4 linked regions of the Caenorhabditis elegans genome follow. The protein of the gene in region 1 interacts with the protein of each later gene in a pairwise test. Each region holds a gene or a part of one and is shown in the gene's direction. Other genes may lie near its edges.

What was found.
Region 2: the proteins of nhr-2 (region 1) and nhr-114 interact in a two-hybrid assay, tested with the Caenorhabditis elegans proteins (one large-scale study listed by BioGRID).
Region 3: the proteins of nhr-2 (region 1) and aak-2 interact in a two-hybrid assay, tested with the Caenorhabditis elegans proteins (one large-scale study listed by BioGRID).
Region 4: the proteins of nhr-2 (region 1) and npr-21 interact in a two-hybrid assay, tested with the Caenorhabditis elegans proteins (one large-scale study listed by BioGRID).

What each region holds. Positions count from the first base shown.
Region 1 is NC_003279.8:5,817,959-5,823,153, reverse strand, and holds nhr-2 (Nuclear hormone receptor family member nhr-2), read left to right. Parts: upstream 1-2,019; 5' UTR 2,020-2,045; coding exon 2,046-2,155; intron 2,156-2,234; coding exon 2,235-2,429; intron 2,430-3,000; coding exon 3,001-3,478; intron 3,479-3,528; coding exon 3,529-4,050; intron 4,051-4,168; coding exon 4,169-4,282; 3' UTR 4,283-4,680; downstream 4,681-5,195. Other genes in the region: C32F10.8 (alanine transaminase), read left to right, coding at 1-16; hmg-3 (FACT complex subunit ssrp1-B), read left to right, coding at 5,029-5,195. UniProt on the Caenorhabditis elegans protein: Orphan nuclear receptor.
Region 2 is NC_003283.11:4,185,190-4,190,515, forward strand, and holds nhr-114 (Nuclear hormone receptor 114), read left to right. Parts: upstream 1-2,013; 5' UTR 2,014-2,019; coding exon 2,020-2,203; intron 2,204-2,417; coding exon 2,418-2,620; intron 2,621-2,818; coding exon 2,819-3,157; intron 3,158-3,212; coding exon 3,213-3,343; intron 3,344-3,419; coding exon 3,420-3,541; intron 3,542-3,593; coding exon 3,594-3,708; exon of another isoform or gene 3,709-3,821; intron 3,822-4,512; coding exon 4,513-4,675; 3' UTR 4,676-4,815; downstream 4,816-5,326. Other genes in the region: Y45G5AM.9 (Aftiphilin clathrin-binding box domain-containing protein), read right to left, coding at 4,827-4,958. UniProt on the Caenorhabditis elegans protein: Probable transcription factor which may have a role in detoxifying dietary metabolites arising from bacterial tryptophan metabolism.
Region 3 is NC_003284.9:16,794,508-16,802,128, forward strand, and holds the start of aak-2 (5'-AMP-activated protein kinase catalytic subunit alpha-2), read left to right. Parts: upstream 1-1,581; coding exon 1,582-1,724; intron 1,725-2,607; exon of another isoform or gene 2,608-2,667; intron 2,668-5,199; coding exon 5,200-5,363; intron 5,364-5,538; coding exon 5,539-6,007; intron 6,008-6,181; coding exon 6,182-6,300; intron 6,301-6,525; coding exon 6,526-6,631; intron 6,632-6,720; coding exon 6,721-6,826; intron 6,827-6,875; coding exon 6,876-7,083; intron 7,084-7,184; coding exon 7,185-7,496; intron 7,497-7,621. UniProt on the Caenorhabditis elegans protein: Acts as a sensor that couples lifespan to information about energy levels and insulin-like signals. Role in motility and response to oxidative stress. Involved in the establishment of germline stem cell (GSC) quiescence during dauer development.
Region 4 is NC_003284.9:17,154,575-17,159,703, reverse strand, and holds npr-21 (G-protein coupled receptors family 1 profile domain-containing protein), read left to right. Parts: upstream 1-1,735; 5' UTR 1,736-1,746; coding exon 1,747-1,834; intron 1,835-2,424; coding exon 2,425-2,504; intron 2,505-2,555; coding exon 2,556-2,708; intron 2,709-2,760; coding exon 2,761-2,866; intron 2,867-2,918; coding exon 2,919-2,995; intron 2,996-3,232; coding exon 3,233-3,309; intron 3,310-3,361; coding exon 3,362-3,527; intron 3,528-3,953; coding exon 3,954-4,050; intron 4,051-4,064; exon of another isoform or gene 4,065-4,110; coding exon 4,111-4,259; intron 4,260-4,313; coding exon 4,314-4,409; 3' UTR 4,410-4,616; downstream 4,617-5,129.

The sequences.
Region 1 (5,195 bases):
TGCCGAATACAAGTAGACTTTGAACAATGTCTAATATTCTTCTTTTCTCAATTTTCTCAGCTTTTTTTCTTCTATGTCACTTTTTGTTTCATAGCCAATATGATAGGGTCTAAATGCGTTTACTGTGTAGATTCGATTAATTTTAATTATTGCATTGATGAATTTTAACATTCTTTTTTTTGTAGAAGACTATACTGCCACTTTCACCTGACAAACAATAGGACCTCAGACAGTTTCTGGCACACTCTTATTGATGGATTCCCAAAATACAAGGTCTTTGTCCAGAACCGCCGTTCAACACAATGTGCATTCCACTCGATCCAATTGAGCAGATTCTAATTCACCTAAACGGAGGCCCAATCTGTGACAGTTTATGACCAAATATTCTGTTGCACAAACGTTACATAATCAGGTCAATCTGCCTGCACACACACAATGTTGCCGACTGACGTAACACAGAATGATAGTTTATTGGAGGAAAACAAATGGGCTCTCGAGATAACTGGAGTAGATTACGCAGTTTTGAAATATCGCAGTATTCTTCACTGTCTATCTAAAATCTTATAAAACCAAAAATTACCTCCAAATGGGTTTCTTGGAAAACTACATGGTTCGGAAAATTCGGAATTGTTTGGTATTTTCAATTTATTTTTGAAATTTTCATACACTATTTCCAATTCTTAGTTGGAAAAATTGTTGTTAACAAATTTAAATGTTTTTTTTTGTTGAAAAGTCTTAAAATTTCAAAAAAATATCAAACAATACATATATTTTGCGAAATTTTCGAATTACTTACTTAAGTTTAGAAACGGTTTTGAATACTGAATTCTAGAATATTTCCAGCAATGATTCTCGTCACTAAATGTTTTCTCATTAGCTAAATTAAAATTGACAGCTCGGCCGTTGATGATCCCTTCTGAAAAGAATCAAGATTAGATAACCCCAATCGTTGTCTATTTTCAGAATAAATCGATATTTATAGTTTGACCTTTCCCTTCTGTCAGAATGTATTCGACCATCTGTGCTAAATTGGGGATGGATTAAAGATCCTTCATTAACCTCTATATTACTGTACTATTATAGTATTCTCTGACACATAGCCTCTCTATAGATAGGGGTTACAGAAATGAAATGTTACCCCAAAAGAGGGTTATGAGCATAGAGTTCCAGCAAAAGAATTGACCTACAAAGAACCAAACTTGGCGGCTAATTAATGTTTTGAAAAATTATGACGTCACACTATTGCTTAGATTTCAGCCATGTACTGATTTAATCACAAACATAATCTAGATATAATCTATCAAATTTCTATTCTGACTGTGTGTGTCTTTCAGAAAACCTTTAAATTTCACTTTCCGGAAGAGATGTACAACTATTTTCACTTACAGCAATACTTTTTGGTCGATATATTCCAGCTACAATGACGAAATGTTTTTGGATTAGGGACTGTAGGTGTACTGTAGCTACAGTGCTGTAGCTGAATTTAAATATTATTTTACAGCGTATGAGAACATTATAGGCTACTTGTGTTACCGCTGGGTCCGTAGTTGTTTGGCTTCGAGAGAGGGAAATTTCCTGAAAATTAATGTTCAAGAGCTCTACTATTTCTTCGACACTTTTTCTCACTGAAACTTGATAGACTCTTATTCTGCAACTCATATGCCAACTGAGAACCATACCCAATTTCTCAACAATATCTGTTAGTTTTATCCGAACGCACAAATATATTACAACACCACACTGCGAATATTTGGAAGAGATGTCATCACACCCACTTTCCATCTCTTCACTGTCACCTTCTTATTCCCATAGACCACCAGGGGCGGAGCAGCACACCGTCGTTGCAGGCAGAACGAGCAAGAGTGCGCGAGAACAGTGTGTGCAAGGTCAGATGGTCATTATGCAACCAATTCGAGCGTTCGTTGACCAACATTTTCGCGCGTTCTGTCAGTCTGTTGAATTGTACACTATTTCATAGTATACTCTTTTTTTCAATTTATTAACTCTTATTATTTTTCTATCTCTATTTCTTTTCTAGTTTTCAGATGGTTCCAATGAATCCAGAATTGATGCATTATCCAAATCAACCACATATGATGCCAGGCTATCCAATGATAAATGCATATCAACAGTCATATTTACAGAATCCGGCACAGTAAGTTTTTATATTTCTGTATCCAGTCATAACTTTTCGTGCATTCGAATTATTACAAAACACCAATTCTCACTTTCAGATGGACCCCAGAAATGCTTCTGTGTATGCAAATGCAAATGCAGCAAATGGTTCCAGGAACAGCAACAAACTCAACCTACATGCCACCACAATCTAAAAATACAGTCACTCCAAATGCCACATCACCGCTGAGCCAGATTTCGGACAGAGATTCGGGAAATGACACAATCTCTCCACCACTCACTTCACAGAACAGGTATGTATTTCTTCTGCGCGGTAAAAAGAAGAGTTGCGCAATGTTTGAGTGTTTGGGCGGTCTCTACTTTATGGTCCAATTTGTTTCACGCAATACGTAGAAACAGGTCACCTTGTGACGTGGCAACTGGGTAAGAGAGTGACAGGTCAGAAGAGGGGGCAGATGGGGGACTGTATTGATGACGTGGCAGATGTTACCTCCTAATGATGAATCATATTGAATCCTATTGGCAGGATTCAAGACATCTAAACGGGAATCTCTTTCAACTGGCAAGGTTGGAAGTGGGATTTGAAAATTCAGTTAGTGATTTCAAGTTGATGTAATTTTTACCAATTCACACCTAATTAGAACAAAGAGCGGTTAGATGCAACAAAAAATATTTTAAGATGTTGTACAAAGAGATTAGGTGAGAACAATAGAGTCAGATTTAGCGGAATTTGAGAACACGGTTGTACAGTATGCCGAGGGAATTCTACGTTTCAGCGAGTTACTAAATTAATAAATAAGGCAACGATGACTGGAAGATTACTTTATCCTTTCTATAGTAAAAACGTTAAATTCAATTTTTCAGCGCAACCACTCCAAACTACCATAATCAGCCACAAATGCAATTGACTCCACTTCAACAAGCAAAACCAGAAAAAGAAGAAATCTCACCATATGCAATTAATAATATTCTTTCTTCGACTCAAAGTTCTCCAGACAACGGAAATGAAGCCGATGATAAAGAGAACAGTTCTGTTCGTCGTAACACATTCCCAGCGTCATCTGCTTCAACAAAAAAGCCACGTGGTACTCCATATGACCGTACTAACACACCAATGACAGTAGTTCCACAAATGCCACAGTTTGCTCCAGACTTTTCAAACTATAATCTCACAATGAATGCTTGGAGTGAGTTCTTTAAAAAGGATAGATGTATGGTTTGTGGTGATAACTCTACTGGATATCATTATGGAGTACAGAGTTGTGAAGGATGCAAGGGATTTTTCAGAAGAAGTGTTCACAAGAATATCGCATATGTTTGTACCAAAGGAGAAAATTGCACAGTGAGTTTAATTAGACAAGCATTTCAAAAATATGCTATTATATTTTTCAGTTCTCATATGAAAATTGTGCGGCAAATCGTGGAGTACGTACTCGTTGTCAAGCTTGTCGATTTGCCAAATGCCTCGCAGTTGGAATGAATCGTGACAACGTTCGAGTGAACAAAGAAACTGATAAAGATGTTAAACCATCAGTGGCTTCGCCCAATTTTGAGATGACATCACAAGTGAAAGAGCTTACGGCCGCCTTTGTTGCAAACATGCCATGCTCTACTCACTTAACATCGGGAACTCATGCTATTGGAGCAATTAAGAAATTTATTGAATCAGTTCCAGCTTTGAGCTCACTTTTGCCAAAAGATGAAAAAGCACTTGAAATGAGTATTCAAAAAGTGATGAGTGGTATCTTGGCTATTCGTGCGGCTTTCACATTTGATCCAATCACTTTCTATTCCTGTGAGAATCCAGTAAATTTGCTTCGTGGCGGCATTCGTAATACAGTATTCAATGATTGTGAAGTTGCACTTCTCTCTGGAATTCATATACTTCAAATAGTCAATGGAGGTGTCGCTGAGGTAAGTAATTGTTTGGCATAATGCCAAAATTGTCGGAATATTCCCAAATGACACAATTAATCCCTACCATAACACTCAAGAAAGTAAATATTGCGCCAAGAAAGTTAACCTTTTTCAGATTTTTACGAGTTATTGTCAAGGATTACGCCATCAACTGTCTCAAACACATCTACAAGAGATAGGACTCTGCGATCGATTGCTCATGAGATTGGGACCGTATCTCAATCAATAACAAATATATTACTTCTGATAAATTCAGAACCGATTCGGTGTCTGGACACGCTTCCAACCGGTTCTGAATTCTCACAAAACTTTATTCCTGTCTTATGAATCAATATAGATTCAAAATACTTGTTTAAAGTCCCCTTCCCCCGTTACTATCATTTTCTATTCATGTTCTCAAAGTCTGATCATTTCTTACTGATCTCTTCCTCCAGGTGTGAATTTAATTCTCTATCTCACTCTCTCGTTCGGGCTATATACTGTTTCTTTTTGAATTTCCAATTGATGTTGTTTGTTAGGCTGTTACAGTACCAAAAATTATATTATTTGAAGTTTGTTAAAAACTTAATATATTTGGTACTGCTTCTTGGTTGTTGAAAAGATGAAATAAATATTATTTGATAATTTAACTATTTTGTATGCAGGAAAAAATTTGACGTGCCACAACTTTTACCGTTATTTGTCGTAATTTGTCGTAATAGTAATTTGTCAATTTATTTGTCAAAATTAGTCAATTATTAAAAAAATAATAAAATTAATAGAAACGGTCGTCAGATGCGGTGCTTGCGTATACAGTATACTTCGGTGTTCACGTATGATCGACTACCGTAGTTCTTTGTTTTCGGTTCGACGCGCGAAAAAATTAGAGTGCATTTTTCGAGAATTCATTTTTTTCATTCTTTTCCGGACTTTTCTTGTTCGCGGACGTTTTTCGCTTCTTTTCTTTACACGCGTTATTGACTGACAAGTTTCAGAATGACTGAGCTCAAATTCAAGGGAGTTTACGTGGAGGATATAGGCCATTTAACATGCGGAACGCTTACATTGACTGAAAATTCGATTAACTTCATAGGCGATAAGGGTGGAAAATCAGTTTACATCACAGGAACCGACGTCGATAAACTGAAATGGCAAAAGCTTGG
Region 2 (5,326 bases), on another chromosome or scaffold:
GGGAGGTGAGACGCAGACATCTCAACTGATTTCGCATGGTTAAGAGTGTGCTGACGTCACAATTTTTCTGGGAAAAAAATCGCGCATTTTTTGTAGATCAAACCGCAATGAGACTTTCTGACACTACGTGAAGTTGGATTTTTGCAATCTTCCGCGATTTTTTTTTCATTTTGTTTGTGATTTTTTAAAGAAATTTAGGACAATTTTGGATTTTTGCAAAAAGTCGCTTTGAAGTCTGAATAAAAGCATTTTCGGCGTATCCTGCGCGCATGGGTCTCGCCACGCTGACATCGAAAAAAAAAATTCTGAGAATGCTGCGTATTGTGCAACACATTTGCCGCGCAAAATATCTCGCAGCGAAAAAGAAAACTACAGTAATCGTTTAAATGGCTACTGTAGTGCTTTTGTGTCGATTTACGGGAGATCGATTCTTTAATTAAATTCTTCTTTTCAAATATTACCGGTACAGAGAGTGTAGATAGTTGAATGGACACAGACATTCCGGAACCCAAGGGGCGGGGCGCGGGAAGAGACGATTTTTGTCGATTTACGGAGTGTTTTTATTCACAAACTCTCCGTAAATCCATACAAATCGGCTCTTCCCGCAACCTTGGGTTCCGGAATATCTGTGTCCATTCAACTTTCCTCATTCTCTGGACCGGCAATATTCGAAAAGAAGAATTCATTTCAAAAATCGAGCTCGTAAATCGACACAGAAGCACTACAGAAGTCATTTAAACGATTACTGTAGTCTTCTTTTTCGCTACGAGATGTTTTGCGCGTCAAATATGTTATGCAATACGCATTCTCAGAATTTTTTGTACAAATATTGATGTTTTTATTTTAATCATAAGATGGTTAAATTTACCAACAACTAATTCTTAAATTGATTAGCACTTATCAGTGTCTTATCAGCAATCAAATGACCAAAACATCTAATAGGACGAATTTTCGCCTATTTCTCAGCAACTAACAATGCAACTTTCTCATTCTTCATGTCTCCTGTATCATAGACAAATTGATTAGCTCACGTAGTGCCAGACGGTCCCATTACGGTTTGATCTACAAAAAATGCGGAAATTTTCGCCCAAAAAAATGTGTGACGTCAGTACGTTTTTAACCATCCGAAAACAGTTGAGAACTCTGCGTTTCTTCTCACCCGCATTTTTTGTAGATCAACGTAGATCAATCCAAAATGAGACACTCTGCCACCACGTGTAGCTTCTTCTTCTGCTGCTGCTGCTACAGTCTGTGTGTACAAAAGTCTTCTCACATAGTAGGTAGGTGCAGACTTCTTTCTTTATCAAATCTTCCCTTCTTCAACATTACATGGCGTGGTTTTCTCGTGGCATTTTCCAAGAGAGGCTCCACCCCCCCCCCCCCCCCCATCGCATGTACTTTGTTCATTGGTCAAGAAGAATCGTATATAACGGGCAGCGATAACGTCCCAAATCTTTGTCGTATGACGACGGGGACGATCGGAAATTGAGAGGAGGAGGGGGTAGTGTGAAAAATACATGAGGACGCGATGAAGCTGCTGGTCAGCAGCAGGCCCCAAGCCACTGTGTTTTATTGCAAGACAGTTCGATCTTCACGTTGATATCAGACATATATAGAATATACATCTCAAGGTCTTCTATTCTCATTTCTTAGGCAGCCTGTTAATATGTTGATAATGAACAATCATTTGACCGCCCGTTTTTCCGAGTCACTTCATCAAGGACTTGATTTCTTTCCAAAAAAACTTCCAAAACCACCCAGCAAATCATTGTTTCAAAAAAAGTTTGCTCAAATGATTAGAAATCAAAAGTTCAAATGTTTTTTTGCAACAGCTGTCCCTAGCCTGTCTCACATCACAGTTCAATTGTTGTAGTTTACCTCTCCTCTTCTCCTTCATTTTATCTCTAAAACGCATCGATTCGGGGGCACTTTGCATTTGTTATCGTGTCTAGTGTCTCTTGGCATTATTCTCGTTGTCACAAAAAAAACCAATACAAACAAGGCGTATTTCAGGTCAAAATGACACCTCAATCGTCTCCGAGCTCGTCTCGTGATCACGTTTGTCTCGTTTGTCAAGATTTCGCTTCTGGCTACCATTATGGTGTCCCGTCATGTGTCGGATGCAAGACATTTTTCCGGCGAACAATTATGAAGAAACAAAAGTACATTTGCCAATTCGAGGGCAATTGTCCAGTTGATAAAAGTGAGTTATTTAGCACACTTGGTGTCAGGCTGTCCCATTTCGGTTTGATCTACAAGAAATGCGGGGATTTTTCGCCCAAAAAATGTGACGTCAGCACGTTCTTAACCATGCGGAATCAGTTCCGCAATTCTCGTAGATCAAAACGAAATGGGACACTCTGACACCACTTGTTAGCAGTAACAAGGAACTTATAAAAAATATTTCAAAAGTTCAGCTATCCGCTGTGCCTGCCGATACTGCCGATTCGAGAAATGTTTGAGCGTGGGAATGGACCGAAACGCCCTCCAACAAAACCGTGACCCTATCGGATACACAAAACGTACCAGGCGTCCAAAAAAAGAGCTGAAGACTACCTCGGACTGTTCAAGTGACGAAGGAGCAAGCACCCCACCATCAGTGTCTCCATTACAGCTATCGGTAATTAATTAGTCCAATTACGGTTTGATCTACAAAAAATGCGAGAATTTTTTTGCCCAAAAAATGTGTGACGTCAGCACGTTCTCAACCATGCAAAATCAGTTGAGAACTCTGCGTCTCTTTTCCCGCATTTTCTATAGATCTACGTAGATCAAGCCGAAATGAGAAACTCTGACACCACGTGATCCCAAATTACAGCCTCCACCAATCTCGCCACTCCTTTTCCAAGCTGCACCACTGAAACCTCGTCGCTGCATCCTACAAACTCTTGCCGAACGCGAAAAGTGTGCAAATGATCTCCGACTCTCCGAATATCTTCCAATCCGATCTCTCCACGAGGCTCTATGCTCAAAGGCTCTGCTGAACGACACGGCTTTTTTGGAAAAGTGGGGACAGCCGAGTGAGAGACATCAGATCTTCGATCTACGATTCGTCAATCACGACGACTACCACTATTGGCACGAGAGAGACTGGTTCTTGTTGACAGAGTATGCCAAAACATTCGATGTTTTTGAGGCGCTCGATTATCAAGATAAGGTTGGAAGAAAACCAGAAACATGTATAACGATTTAATTATTTCAATCCTTTCCAGGCCGAACTTGTTCGCCATGCCGCAATAACAGTCCCAGTCCTGGTTCAAGTCTGGAACTCCCCGGACTACGGACCAGACACAATTGTATTCCCAGATGGTGCCTACTTCGATCGTACTCCAGAGCCAACCCGGTAAGTTGTCGGTCACATATACTCCAAACCGAGCCCCAATTCCCGTCTCGTTCCGCGTTGTGTTCAATCGTTATAGGCCAGCCGGACTCAACAGGAAAAAGTATCAAATGTTGGATCTCGTGCTCAAGCCGTTCCGTGATCTACAGCTCGACGCAACCGAATTTGCAGCGTTCAAAGCGGTAACGTTTCTGAATCCAGGTCCGGGCGGAATCTCAATAAGAGCCAAACTTTCACTTTGATGCGATTCCAGACGCTGACATCTCTCTACCGGCTCGCAAGCTTGTGAACAACGAACGAGTCCGCATCACCAAGCAGTTATACGGCTACATGGCCATGAAAGACGACGTGGACACGGCAATCGAAAGGTTGGTGAAATCACGTTTTTCCTTCCTTTGATGCATTCATCTATTACTCGCTTGTCGATCAAATCAAACATTGATAGATCACAATTTGATGTGTCTTGTTGCGGACTAGCTAAGTAAGCTAAGTTGGAACACTTTGACCAAAATTTCGGTAAATTCTCTAAATTTTGCTAAATTTTCAAATTTTTGGTAAAATGCTAAAATTTTGGTAAATTCTCAACATTTTGGTAAAATGCTAAAATTTTGGAAAAATTCTCACAATTTTGGGAGGCACCACGGAAACGAGAACATGTGAAAAAGGAGAATTACGAAAAGGAGAACACAAAACCACGCCTATTTATCCGTGCCGAGCGCAAGTTTTTGCATAAACTTGTGCAAATTTTTATTTTCAAACGAGACAACGAAGATCCGAACTAACGAATTCGTGTGATAAACAACACGCGATACGTTCTTTCGGAGCTTCGCGTTATCTCGTTTGAAAATAAAAATTTGCACAAGTTTCTGCAAAAACTTGCGCGCGGCATGGAAAAATGGGCGTGGTTTTGTGTTCTCCTTTTCGTAATTCTCCTTTTTCACATGTTCTCCTTTCGGTGGTGCCTCCAAAAGTTTTGGCAATTTATTAAAAAATTGGCAATTTACCAAAATTTTAAGAATTTACCAAAATTTTGAACATTTCCCAAAATTTAGGCAATTTATCAAAAAATTGGCAATTTATTAAAATTTTGAGAATGTACCAAAAGTTCGGCAATTTACCAAAATTTTTAGCCCCCGGCACTGATAGATCACAATTTCATCCCCGTGTTGCAGATTCGCACGATTGGTTCTGATGGGAACGTCCATGTCAAAAATGGCGTGCGAATCGAAAGAGGCCGTGTGGATTGCAGACTTTTTCGAGAATATCGGCTTCTCGGCGTTTGCCCGGCAACTGTTTTTCGGTGATACGACGAGCGTTGTTGCTCACAAATTGTGAAGTGAATAAATTTAAATTTAATAAATTAATTTCCAGAAATATTTACACGCTTGAAAAAAAATCTCAATGCTAATCCTATTTATATACGTTTATTATTATTTTTTTTTTTTGGTATTTTTTTTGCAATAAAGTTTTAACTTTTTTTTCTTACCGCCTGAATTGGTGCAGCAGCAACAACGGCTTCTCCAAAATCTCCCCACTCATCGTCGTCATCGTCTTCTTCTTTCTGTATTTCCGAATTTTGAAATCCCGTAAATTCGTCCTGTGATAATGCAGTCGTCATCTGAAATTACGGGATTTTTGGGGTAAATTTTTGGCAAAATTAGTTCAATTTTTAGAACATTTTTTGACAAAAAAAATTGATTGCAAATTTTAATTTCAAAATGTTGCATTGCTATTTTAAAGTTGATTGAAGGTTTTTGTTCATAATTCAAAGCAGGGGTCGGGGGCAAACGATTTTTCCGGCAAATCGGCAAACTGACAATTTGTCGAAAATGACATTTTCTGGCAAATCGGCGAAATTGCCGGAATTGAAAATTTCCGGCAAATCGGAACACCGGCAATTTGCCGAAAACGAAAAATTCCGGCAAACCGGCAATTTCCCGAAAACGAAAAATTCCGGCAAACCGGCAATTTCCCGAAAACGAAAAA
Region 3 (7,621 bases), on another chromosome or scaffold:
CTTAAAGCCTCAATTCTACGTGGCGAAGTTCTCAACAAAGTTTTGTAAAATTTACGACAACTAAAAATTTTTTCAGCACATTCTGATTTATTATTTTAGTCACCGACTTTAATGGGTGGCCTTTAATGATTTTGAAGTTAATTTGAAAATTTTTAAAATCAATAAAGATGAACATGGACATGGATTTTTCACAAAACTAACAATTAAGAGGCAACAAAAACAAACATAATGATAGTTGTTAGAAAAATGGAAATTGAACAAAAATTTCAAAAACAAAGAAAGCAAGTCAACAAGTGTCTAACGAAGAAGTAAACTTTTCTCATCACTTGGACGCCGAGTGTGCTCAAAACCATTGTGCTCCGAAATATGACACTTTTCAACTCGTCCCATCGTTCAAAGTTATTATTCCCTCTCATTTTTTTTCCCGCGCTCTCGTTGGCTCTCGTATCATGAGCTCTCGTTGACAAGTAACTTTTAAGTTTCAAAATTTATCTATAGTTGTTAAAGTATAATGTTTTCCTAGAAGCTGTAAGCTTGGCAGGTGACTTTCCCTGCGGGAATTGCGAAAAAAATAGAGACTGAATAAAACGCATATACTGTTTCATATTGTCTGGCACGTGCCTTGTGGCAGGAGGTATACCAATACACTGCCCCGTTCTGATCCGATTACTTTGACAAAAGTCGCCGAGTCTGATACTCACAAACAGTAGCGTCAAGTGAGGAGGGCTCACTTTACCAGAATTTATTATGAATGTTTCTGGTATCATCACATTGTTTCAACTTTCCACGCGCTGTTACATTGCGTTTTGAATCGATTTTTTGGTATTCTGCCAAATATAGCTTCAGTGCGTTGCACTCGAGCATCTGAACATATTTGCTTTTTGTTTGGCGAGAGGAAGGAAAAAGCACTGAAAAGTGCTTAAAAATCGTTTTGAAATAAGGATTAGTAACTGGATTAGAGCTAGAGCATTAAGTGATATTAGGCAATTTTTGTTATTTCTAAAAATATGGAACTATGCGGGTGGAATTTTTTGTTCACATGAACGTGTCAAAAAAATTGTTAATGTTCATACCCTCATTTACATTTCCACTTTTATGGCATTTTGGAAAAAGATGGCTATATTCGCCCTGTTAGTTTTAGAAAACCTTTTCCACTAGATATTGAAATTTCGAAGTGAAGTTTTCGCTTTCATCAAACATTCTTCGAGAGCTAGCTTCAATTGTTCTCCTTCATTTTTTCTATTGCTTTATGTTGCATTGAATAGCTAAAAAAAAATTCAAAAAGCTATCCCTTCAAAAAAAGAAAATTCGCTGCTTCTCGACGTGAAAAACAATGAAAAAAGTGTTCGGTGAGTACTTGTTCTATTTACACAGCAAACCTTTTTAGCAGCCGAGCTGTTAGAAAAACCAAAAAACGCCACCAAAATATGCTTATTCACATTTTCCGTCATCACCATCGCCGCCGATTTCTGCGCATGACAAAGTGGCTTTTCTCTCTTTTTTTGGATTTCAAGGTCTAACATTGCCGTTCTAATGCCCGTTTTTTAGGTTACATTTCAAAATAACCGACTATTTTCAGAAATGTTTTCTCATCAAGATCGAGACCGCGATAGGAAGGAGGACGGTGGTGGAGACGGTACTGAGATGAAATCCAAGAGTCGGAGTCAGCCAAGTGGACTTAATCGCGTGAAAAATCTTTCAAGAAAGCTATCGGCAAAGTCAAGGTTAGTTTTTGAGGGGTTTTCGGGGGGTCAAGGGAAGTCAAAAACCGCAATTCTAAAATTTTGCGATGGGTAGCCACAGAAGGGATGTTCTTTTCATTTGAAAATGTGAAAAAGATTAATTTTTTTTAAAACCACACTGATGAGTTTAGTGAAAAAATTAAACATGCTTCTAGCGCCTCAGCTAATCAACTCAGATTTTCCGTACAAATTACTTTAGTATTACGAAATATTGAAAAATTCATCGGCCCTCAGCAAATTAGATTCCAATTCGGGAAAATACTGAATTTTCCCTGAATTCCGTGTTTTGTCTGTGTGAATTAAAGATTGTTCACATTTAAAATAACGTACCAAGGTTTTTTTTTGAAAACTTTCTAGATCACTAGTTTTTGAAAGACTAAATATTAATTTTCAGCAACTTTTTGTAAACGCCCATTACGATTAGCAAAACAGAAAAAGATAACAGCAAAAATGTTCAATGCAAAAACAAAAGAAAAGAGACTGGAGCCTTAATGCAAAACGAACAATGTGGGGGCCCTTCCCGAATAAGTGAGCCGCGCGGAACGCTGCCGCCCTCCACTAAACAACGCGCGGTACGATACTCCGTTCATCGGACCAACTTCCCCCCTCTTTACCTAGTTGGCAACATTTTCTTCGTATTCTCACGGATTCTCCTCATTCATTCCGCTTTCAAACCCAATTTCCGTGCATTTAGCATTGGAAAAACACGTGCCGCAACGTATCCGAAAATAGTGTGAGACGCAGACGGCTGGCGCCCCGCGTGAGGCGACCAAAAGGCTTTTCTTCTTTTTGTCCTCCGTTGAAAATCATGGTAAATTGAGTGATCTCGTTTGCGTATTTGTGTGTATGAGAGAGTGTGAGTGTGTGTGTGTGTGTGTGTGGACACGCCAAAGCTTGATGGAGTCACATGTATATCATGAAAAACACAAACAGATACCACACCAACGAATCTTGAACCTTGAGTTCTTCCGCCAGTGTTCATTTTTAACATCTCTTCATCGTTCTGCAAGGAGACCTGTCAAAATTTCCAACAAAAAAAAGAGTTTCCCATAAATTAGGAAAATTCTGATAGGTTCGGAAGTTTTCCGTGAAGTAACTGAATATATTTTCAATGATCACGAGAAGGCAATTGAATAAATGTTAGTTGGAAAATTTTTATTGAGCTTCTAGATTTTGTTGTCTAATATTTGAGCCTCAAACTTTTAATATAGGTTATTATTTTTTATTGCAGCCGACAATTTTTTGTGGCAATTTATATACAAAAGCATAAATATCTGAGATGCTTAGTTTCATAGAAATTCAGTTCAAGAGGCTTCACCGTATAATATAATATATTCTTGCTGAAACTACAGGAAAATTTAGTGGGAACTTGTGAAATTTGAAAGCTCCCAGATTCGATTTTGTCATTCTTTTATGCAATGCAAAAATTATTTTTAAAAAACTGTTTTCGACATTTTCTCATGATTTGTGAAAAAGTTTTTTTCTCAAATAGAAGTTAAGCTCATTTTTCTAAATAGTTTTTCTAAACCCTGGATTGTCTCAAATCCGCTGTAGAAAAGTTGAAGCGACTGACATCTTATGAGCTAAATTTTTCCTGAGTTTTTGAAATAGACTACATCTTGATAATTGAACATTACAGTTTGACAAAATTTATAAAAATATTGATCAGTTGGATTTTATTATTTTTCTGTTGTTTTGTTCTAGCTCCAGTAGGGTGGATATTTTTCAAAAATCTCAAATTTTTGTGCAACTTCTATTAGTACAAATATAAAAATATTTCAAACGTGCACTTTTTGAACATGGACATACGTTAAATTTCCAATATAAAGGGCAAACTTTCAGCTGAGTTAGGAGAATATGAGCAGCTGTTAATCACATAAATCTAACAAAAAAACCACATGTTCCAACTTAAAATTGATTTCAAAATTTTGTGGCCAAAATGAAACCCTACGATGTCAGCCGAGTTTACTTTTTCAAAGTGCAGTTAGAAAAATTGTCTCAATTTTTTATCAGTGGAAACGTTTTTGGTAGTCTCACTAATTTTAAAGTTTAACTCGTTTTAGTAGAAGTCATTTAAAAAATTCAAAAATTGCGGTGTAACAGTTCTTTTAATACTTTTTCAAATGCCATAAATCGTCTGTAATTAATTTTCTACCAACTTGACAATTTCAATTAGTAAAATCACAGTTTTAATGCATAACTTTTTGATGCTAGTCGTATCAAATTGTGATTATTGTTGTTATCTTCACCACTTATATTACGAGTGTATCAAATTTCGATGACACAATACGGCTATTATTCATTGAGCGCTTGTGTTTTCTCTATCGTCTCCACTGTCTGACCTTCGATGATGTTTTTCTACATGTTTTTTTGTTCTCTCAAAATAGATGTTTCAGTTCCTCCAACCTTTTGAAAATCTGTAATTGGTGTTGATTTTGGAACCTTTCCTATTGTCTCTTCTACCATTCATATCCGGCACATTTATGTCAAAACACTGACTGCACCTGCTGTTTTTGAAATTTAGTGTCTGGTGTCTGGGCGGCAGTCATAAGACCTGATGGGCATACGGTTTTCCTAGAGACTCCTACTGCAATGGTCATTCTGTGATAAGAAGTTGCTTTTTTGTTTATCCATTCAAAATTACCATCCAAAAACCACACCAGTTATCAATTTTTAAGTCTTTGAGACCCGTAAAATCAATCAATCATGTCCACATTGCACTTTTGCCTGTAGAAAAACGCGATTTTCGGTTTTCAATCTTATCTCATTTCTGGTTTTCGTTCCCATTTGACTACTTGTTGTCAATTTTTTAGGTTAGGTCTAAATAAATATTAAAGATTTTTTAAAAATTTAAATGAAAGTTCAATTTCTTCTTTCTATTTTTTTGTTCCTACCTACCAACGCTGTTTGCGCCGGAGGACGATAGACATAAGGAAACGAACACACGGGATGCCTTTCCCTTCTATTTTTCTCCTCTTTTTCTCTATCTCTCGCCATTGCTTTGTGCTGTATGGTCAACTCTCGTTGTCTTCGCTGTGCGTGTGTGTTTGTCTGTTGTTAGAAAACGAGGAAAATTGTGAGAAAGAGTGAGCGAGGAAGATCGAGAGAGAAGAGTGTGCGTGTGAGAGGTGTAGGGGTCGCGAGAGTGTGCGGGAGGTTGGCGGACCTTTTACCACATTTTCGGCCAAAGGAAAAAAGGCATCGATCTTTGTTGGTTGTAGTTCTAGACATTTTTTGTTTCTGCTATGTTCTCAAAACACCAAAACTTGTTCTTAGATTTCTGATCTTTGAAAAATACATGCTCTTTATACACTTGTTTTTCTCGTTGTTTTGCTATTTGCAGGAGGTTCCTCGTGACTGTATTTATTGATTTTTTAACTGAACAATTATTCTGAGGAACTTGTGAATTCGAGATTTTACTTACGATCATTTACCTACCAACAACGTACGTTTTCAGAAAGGAACGCAAGGACCGCGATAGCACAGACAACAGTTCGAAAATGTCGTCTCCAGGAGGAGAAACGTCGACGAAGCAGCAACAAGAGCTCAAAGCTCAAATCAAAATCGGACATTACATTCTCAAGGAGACACTCGGAGTTGGTACTTTTGGTAAAGTAAAAGGTAAGCTACAACACCTTAAAATTCAACCAAACCGGAAAGTTAGAAACTTTTTCATTTGCTGCAACTTCCTGGCAACACCATAAGCTGCCAAATTGTTGCAAAAATTTTGTCCCAATCTGCCAAATACTGACATATTTATCTTTCTTTTCTGTTCATCTAGTTTTCACATTTTCAGTTGGAATCCATGAGACAACTCAATACAAAGTGGCTGTCAAGATTCTGAACCGTCAGAAGATCAAGTCACTGGATGTCGTTGGAAAGATTCGCCGCGAAATCCAAAACCTCTCGCTCTTCCGCCATCCGCATATCATCCGCCTCTACCAAGTCATCAGTACACCTTCTGACATTTTCATGATTATGGAGCACGTTTCCGGCGGGGAGCTCTTTGACTACATTGTTAAGCACGGACGGCTGAAGACCGCAGAAGCTCGTCGCTTCTTTCAACAAATCATTTCCGGCGTTGACTACTGTCATCGTCATATGGTTGTCCATAGAGATTTGAAGCCAGAGAATTTGTTGCTCGATGAGCAGAACAATGTGAAGATTGCGGACTTTGGACTTTCAAATATTATGACGGATGGTGACTTCTTACGCACCAGCTGCGGATCGCCAAATTATGCTGCCCCTGAGGTTATTAGCGGAAAGTGAGTGATTATGGTGGTCTCCTGATCATGGTTCAATGTAAAATAAAAACCAAATTAGAACTGAATAACAAAACATGAAACATGTGTTCGCAAACACCAAGACGACATTTTGCACTAGTAGAAATCCAATTAAAGTAATTGAACAAGATTAGACACAACAACTTTGTTTTGCAGGTTGTACGCAGGTCCCGAAGTTGATGTATGGTCGTGTGGAGTCATTTTGTATGCACTTCTTTGTGGAACCCTGCCATTTGATGATGAGCACGTGCCAAGTCTTTTCAGAAAAATTAAATGTACGTTAGTGTGACATGAGAATCAAAACACAAAAATGGCAAAGGATTACGACAACATACCAATTTCATTTAGACATATGAAAGCGAAATGGGATTTGAAAATTGAAATATCCCTATTACAAAAGGCACTATTACTATGTTTTGGCGCACTGCCCGGGTGATAAATGTTTGAAATTTAAATTGGAATCATTAAAAATTATAACGTTCACGAAATATGTTTTTTAGCTGGCGTATTCCCAACTCCAGACTTTCTGGAGCGCCCAATTGTAAATCTGCTTCACCATATGCTCTGCGTAGACCCGATGAAGAGGGCCACCATCAAGGACGTCATGTAAGTGGTCTTCTAAAAAGAAAAAAAAAACAAACATCGTTGCTATGAGACGCCAAGGAAACAAGACAATAACTGCTTTATATTTTCAGTGCTCACGAGTGGTTCCAGAAGGATTTGCCGAACTACTTGTTCCCACCAATCAACGAGAGTGAGGCTTCCATTGTTGATATTGAGGCTGTCCGAGAGGTCACTGAGGTATTAATCGTGTTCGATAGGAGCAGAAGTTTCTAATCACAATGAAAAGTTTCAGCGCTATCATGTCGCCGAAGAGGAAGTCACCTCAGCATTGCTGGGAGATGATCCACATCACCATTTGTCGATTGCATATAACTTGATTGTTGATAACAAGAGAATTGCCGATGAGACTGCCAAGTTGTCAATTGAGGAGTTTTATCAAGTGACGCCGAATAAGGGACCTGGACCAGTTCATCGCCATCCAGAGCGCATTGCAGGTAGGAGAGGGTGCATAGAAAAACTCTTGGTGGCAAAGAATAATAAAACTTTTGCATCGAACATGAAATTCGTAAAACAATATCTAAATCTTCAATTTCAGCGTCAGTCAGCAGCAAGATCACACCAACTCTCGACAACACGGAAGCCAGTGGCGCGAACCGCAACAAACGTGCCAAGTGGCATCTGGGTATCCGATCCCAAAGTCGTCCGGAAGACATCATGTTCGAGGTGTTCCGTGCGATGAAGCAGCTGGACATGGAGTGGAAGGTGCTCAACCCATATCATGTGATTGTTCGTCGCAAGCCTGATGCACCCGCTGCCGACCCGCCAAAGATGTCGTTGCAGTTGTACCAAGTGGATCAGAGAAGTTACTTGTTGGATTTCAAGAGTTTGGCCGACGAGGAGTCTGGATGTAAGGGTTTTCTTTGTTTAGATTGAACTTTTTGAAAGTGGAACCTGTTTAAAATATTTAGTTAATCGTTCTAGAAAATACTAGAAAATACAAGTTAGTGCATTTTTTTAAACTAAAATCACAAT
Region 4 (5,129 bases), on another chromosome or scaffold:
GTATTCTTAGACAACCGGGAAGAAGAAGCCAGGTTTTGTAGGCAGACGCTCGGCAAAAACAGGAGGTGCTAATTCATTCACGTCTCCATTTTTTTTCGAAAGTTCTCATATTTTGGAGTGTGATTTTTTGAGAATTTATCATAAATCAAAAGGATAATGGCTGTTCATAGCATCTAGCCTGATTCAAAAATTTCGAAATAAATTTTTTAATCATTTGCGAAAAAAACATTTTTCCGACATTAAACATTTAGTTTAAAATTTCAAATTCACATTTAATGATTTACAAATTTCCAAGAAAACAATTCCCGTGAAAATGAACATTTTTGCGCGCGTTCTCACACGTATTAAGTGTCTAATGGTTAGTAATGACTGGCAAAATTGGGATAGAAATTCACGTCATTATTTATGCGATTTGAGCTGGAAGAAAACAATTTTTCTTTGTAGATTTTGAAATTTTTTGAATTTGTGATATTATTTTTTTTTCTTGTAATTTTCTCCCATTTGGTTTGACTTGCAAATATGTAAATTTGGAAAATGCCCTCATTAAAATTTTTTTCTTAAATTCTTAGATTTTCTTTGAGCTCAAGGATAGTATCTTTTAGTTTAAAATGTTCGCTCTGGTACTCTGAATTTTCCAAAAATGCGAACGTGTCTGAGTCCAACAACTCCCAGGTTTCGCGTTGCTCTCAACATCGCCGCGCGGAACACGGTAGTTGTCGGACCGTGTTGCATCATTACTTAGAAATTTTCTGAGCAATTGACTCCGAAAATGGATGTGTTCAAATTTGTGAAAATTGAGCATTCAACACTTTTGTTGGGTTGAGTTTGAAAATTTGAACTTGAACAGACAATTCCCTGTGATCCTTTGTAGCTAAATCTATGTTCTCAGATAACCAACAGTTGGGGGGTAAACCTGCGTGGGTGTGGTTTTATGCTAAATGCGCAGCCGACACCGATGGAAGTCCGCGATTTACAACTTGAGTACCTGTTATATTCGAAAAATAACTTTTCGATGAAGTGTGAAAGTTACTATTAATTTTACGGTGACTAACCTTTTCAAAATCCCGCTGGCATTCAACTTCAAGTTTTATCTTTAAAGCTTATTCACTTTTGACTTTTTGTACACTTCCGATCTTTGAGTTCCACCTTTCGACATCCGCCTACTTTATGTGCATATCGTCAACTCTGAACGACATCGTAACTTCTTCCTCCTATTCCCTGAAACATTTCCACCTGCTCTTCTATTCATAGAATGATGTGGTGGGTGTCAACCTAGGATACTTTGAGCTTTTTTAAAAATTCACTTGATCTATGTGTCTTCCCGACTTCCTTTTCTCTCCGAATTCTTTTCCGAATTCCCCCGAATTTCTTTACTTGGAAAGTAAAAGAGGAAATTAGACGGCAAAAAGAAGATGTGTTTCGTGAACTTTTCACAACACTTCAAGCGTTCTTCTTTGAACTGCCCGTCTCGTCTTGCAACTTTTTTCATTTCATTCTCGTTTTTTTCATCTCATTCACATCTTTAATCATTCATTGAAATCTTAGGGCCGAAAATCCAGTATCGTTTTCATTCTTCTTTTTCGTTGCTCTAGCTCCTCCCCTGCGTCACAACATTTTTCAATTATTCTCAAAGTGTTATTTCTGTTTGTGTGGTTGGAATTCGAACTTTACACTTAAAACTTTTCACCTGCTCTACGTTTTTAGAAACTGTTACAATGTTTTTTCACCAGAATATTTTCAGAACGAATGGAAAGCGACTCCCCACTTAATCATCCTGTGGTACACTTTTTGCTCTGTGTATCCTACCTTTTTGTCTTTCTGGCCACTATAATCGGTATGCCAAGGATCTTTGTTCATATTTTTAATATCTGAAAATATTTTGCAATGATTATATTAAATATTGCAGATATTAATGGTTTTTTTTCGAAGTTTTTCGATGTTCACTTTCAAAATTCATTCTAAACCTAAAGCATGCTCCGGCATACCCAGAGATCATTTTCTGCTTCACACCTTTTCTTCACAATCGAATTGTTTTTTTTTCTAATTTCTTCTAACTCAGACTCGTGAATGCGACAAAATTTCATTTGATTTTCTCATTAGGACGGTTTTCGTAGCTAGGCAAACACACAACCAAGCAAACAATGACATTCATTTTTGATTTGTTATCCAATATCAGATGACAATATATCAGAAGACAGAATCAACAGTAGGCTATAATTAGATTACATTGAAGTGAGCAATAATTGGTGAAACTAAACTGATAATCGACATTTAGGTTCAAATTATATGGTAGAAGTACGTAGTTAATAGTAAGTGGTAGAGGACAAACTATTAGAACTTGAACAATTTATTTTAAAAAAGGAAATTAAGCTATGGGCAAATTTGAACAAAATTACCATCAAGCTATAACATAAATTCTTTCAGGAAATCTTATCATTCTGCTGGTCTTCTTCTCGCAGAAACGAGTCCGAAGTGTGCCCAACTTCTTTCTGGCAAATCTGACGGTAACTCTCCTCCAAAACTCACCTCCTATTCTGAAAATAATCTATTTCTAGGTTGCCGACCTTTTTGTCGGAATCTTCTGCGTTCTCCAGAACGCTGTGAATTTTGTATTCCAAGGACATGGACGGTGGCCGTTTGGCAAAGTGTTATGTTATTCATACATCTACGTACTACACTTCATACCAAATGTGTCGGCTGGAATTCTGGTAGGCAATCATGACGTAGGGAATCTTTGAAAAGCAACATTTTGATATTCAGGTGCTGGTCTCGGTTGAAAGATTGATTGCGGTGCTCCGTCCATTGCGGGTGCGAAGAGCATTTTCACAAAAAGTGCTCATCACATCGTCAGCTGTTGTTTGGCTAAGTAAGCTGACTTAAAAAGAAATGTGGAAATGAAATGTTTTCTTAAATTTCAGCTAGCGCAGTTATGAACACCCCATATGTAGTGGCTAGCCAGTTTTTAGAGATATCAGACGGGAATGAGACATACACAGTAAGTAACTTCACCTACCTGCCTGCATACAGGTTAACCACAGCCGAGTATGAAAAAATTCAGGCTAAAAACTATTATTTAAAAAAAATTCTAAAACCGCTTGGATACAATATGGCTAAATATGCAAACTTTGCCATTGTTTTTTTTCTAAAAGAATTTTCTAAAGATCTTTTGTTAGTTGAAGTATTACCAAATTAGTTCAAGAAGTTCCTTTTCTCGAAATAAAGATTTTTCCAGATCTGCACTAGACGTCATGTGGAAATTTATGGATTCAACCTCCTGAAGCTAGTCGCCACTATCAACTTCATCGTCTGGTGCGTTCGTCAACTCTATATATATTTTGTTTTGACTTTTAAAATTTTTCAGGTACGCCGTCCCTCTAGTAATCCTTCTTTGCATCTACGCTACCATCGGCCTCGTGGTGAGCAAGGCCGCAACAATCACGAAACACTCCGCCAACAAGCTTTTGCCAAGATCAAGCTGGCGATCCGAAGCCTCAACCGGCGGTGTGTCAGTGGAGAAGAGGAGAAAGGTTTGTTTAAAGATTCAGAACATGTGTTCACAGTTTGTTTGTGCCAAGTCGAACCACTTTTTCTCAAACGTTTAGTTCTGAGAGATGACACTTAGCCATATGGTAAAACCAAAAGTTATTGAAATTTGTTGAATTATTCAAAAGTTTGGTATAGGGCAGCATTTGATATTTAGCTTGAAACTTGCTTTTTAAAAAAGTACATGTATAAATCAAAAGACTAGGCACATGTGTTTAAAACCAGTTCAAAAATTGGAACATTTATTAACGGGACAGAAAAAAAAAGGGTCATTCACTGTGAGGAAAGCCTCCAGATTTTCAGAAGTAATATCAAACTACAAACTACAAAATCGACAAAATTTATAAACATACATTTTTCAACAAAAAAGTATTTTGTTGATATATTTCTGACATTCAATTTCACTTCAGGTTGGTCGTTTGGCAGTCGGAATCGTCGTGGCATTCGCGTTCTTCTCACTCCCGAGATATGTATATTTTATGTGGACCGTCTGGCGAGATCCGATGGGTAAGCACGTCGTCCACCTGAACCTCCAAGTTCCAAGATCATAAACATCAAACTTTTCAGCGCCAAGATGTTTGAACTGCCTTCAAAGTGTACTCCAACCCATCAGTTTCCTGCTTCTGTTCTTTAATGCCGCCGTCGACCCATTCCTCTACGCATTCCTTTCAACAAGATTTCGTCAAAGCATCAAAGAAACATTTCATCTTGGAAAGGTAAAGAATGTTCTCCAGCCAAGACATTTTCATTCTATTCGATTCAGCTTTCAGGTGCGTGAAAGCAACATCGAGCAGTCATCACGAGTGCGGCGTAAGGTGTTAAACTCGGAGTTGGAGACGGGTTACGAATATCATAATCACTCATAACAAATGTACATACATGCTTTAAAATTCTAATCCCACTTATTCACACATTCTCACACATATTGCGTTCTGTTTTTGTGATCTCACCCATGATTTTCAAAACTTTATAATGCTATCACCGTTTCTTTCCACAACAGTCTCCTGTCAAATTTGTAACATATACGTAATTATGGATATAGTTTCTGTCAATAATGAATTTGTCAAAAAATCAATTTTTTGGGTTTTCATGCTTAAACAGAGTTTGTAAATTATATTAATCCCAAATTACAAAATTATGCAATCGGATTTCTCAAAAATGTTTTAAAACTTTTTAAGAAAGGTCAAAATTTCAATGATCATTAAATGAACATTGATTTCCGGCCATGTGCCACATACAAACATAAATATTGAAGATTTTAGCTGAATTGAACAGTTTTTTTTTGAAATTTTGAACTGCAATGTAAAATATTTTAAAAACTTTGAAAAGTCTCATTATGAAATTTAGTTGTTTGGGTAAACTTTCGAGGTCTTTGGGCAACTAGAGCTACTTTTATATATTTTCAGCAAGCTTACAATTGACATAATTAAAGAAAATATTGCCCAGTTTGACTATTAAAGATATTTTTGACCCTAAGTAATCAACTTTCAGTATTCATGCAAAAAACCTCTAATCATTTTTTTCTGCTTTTCAGCTCTTTGAAAAATTCAGATGGCAAATTTTAAATAATACAAATGCATATAAAA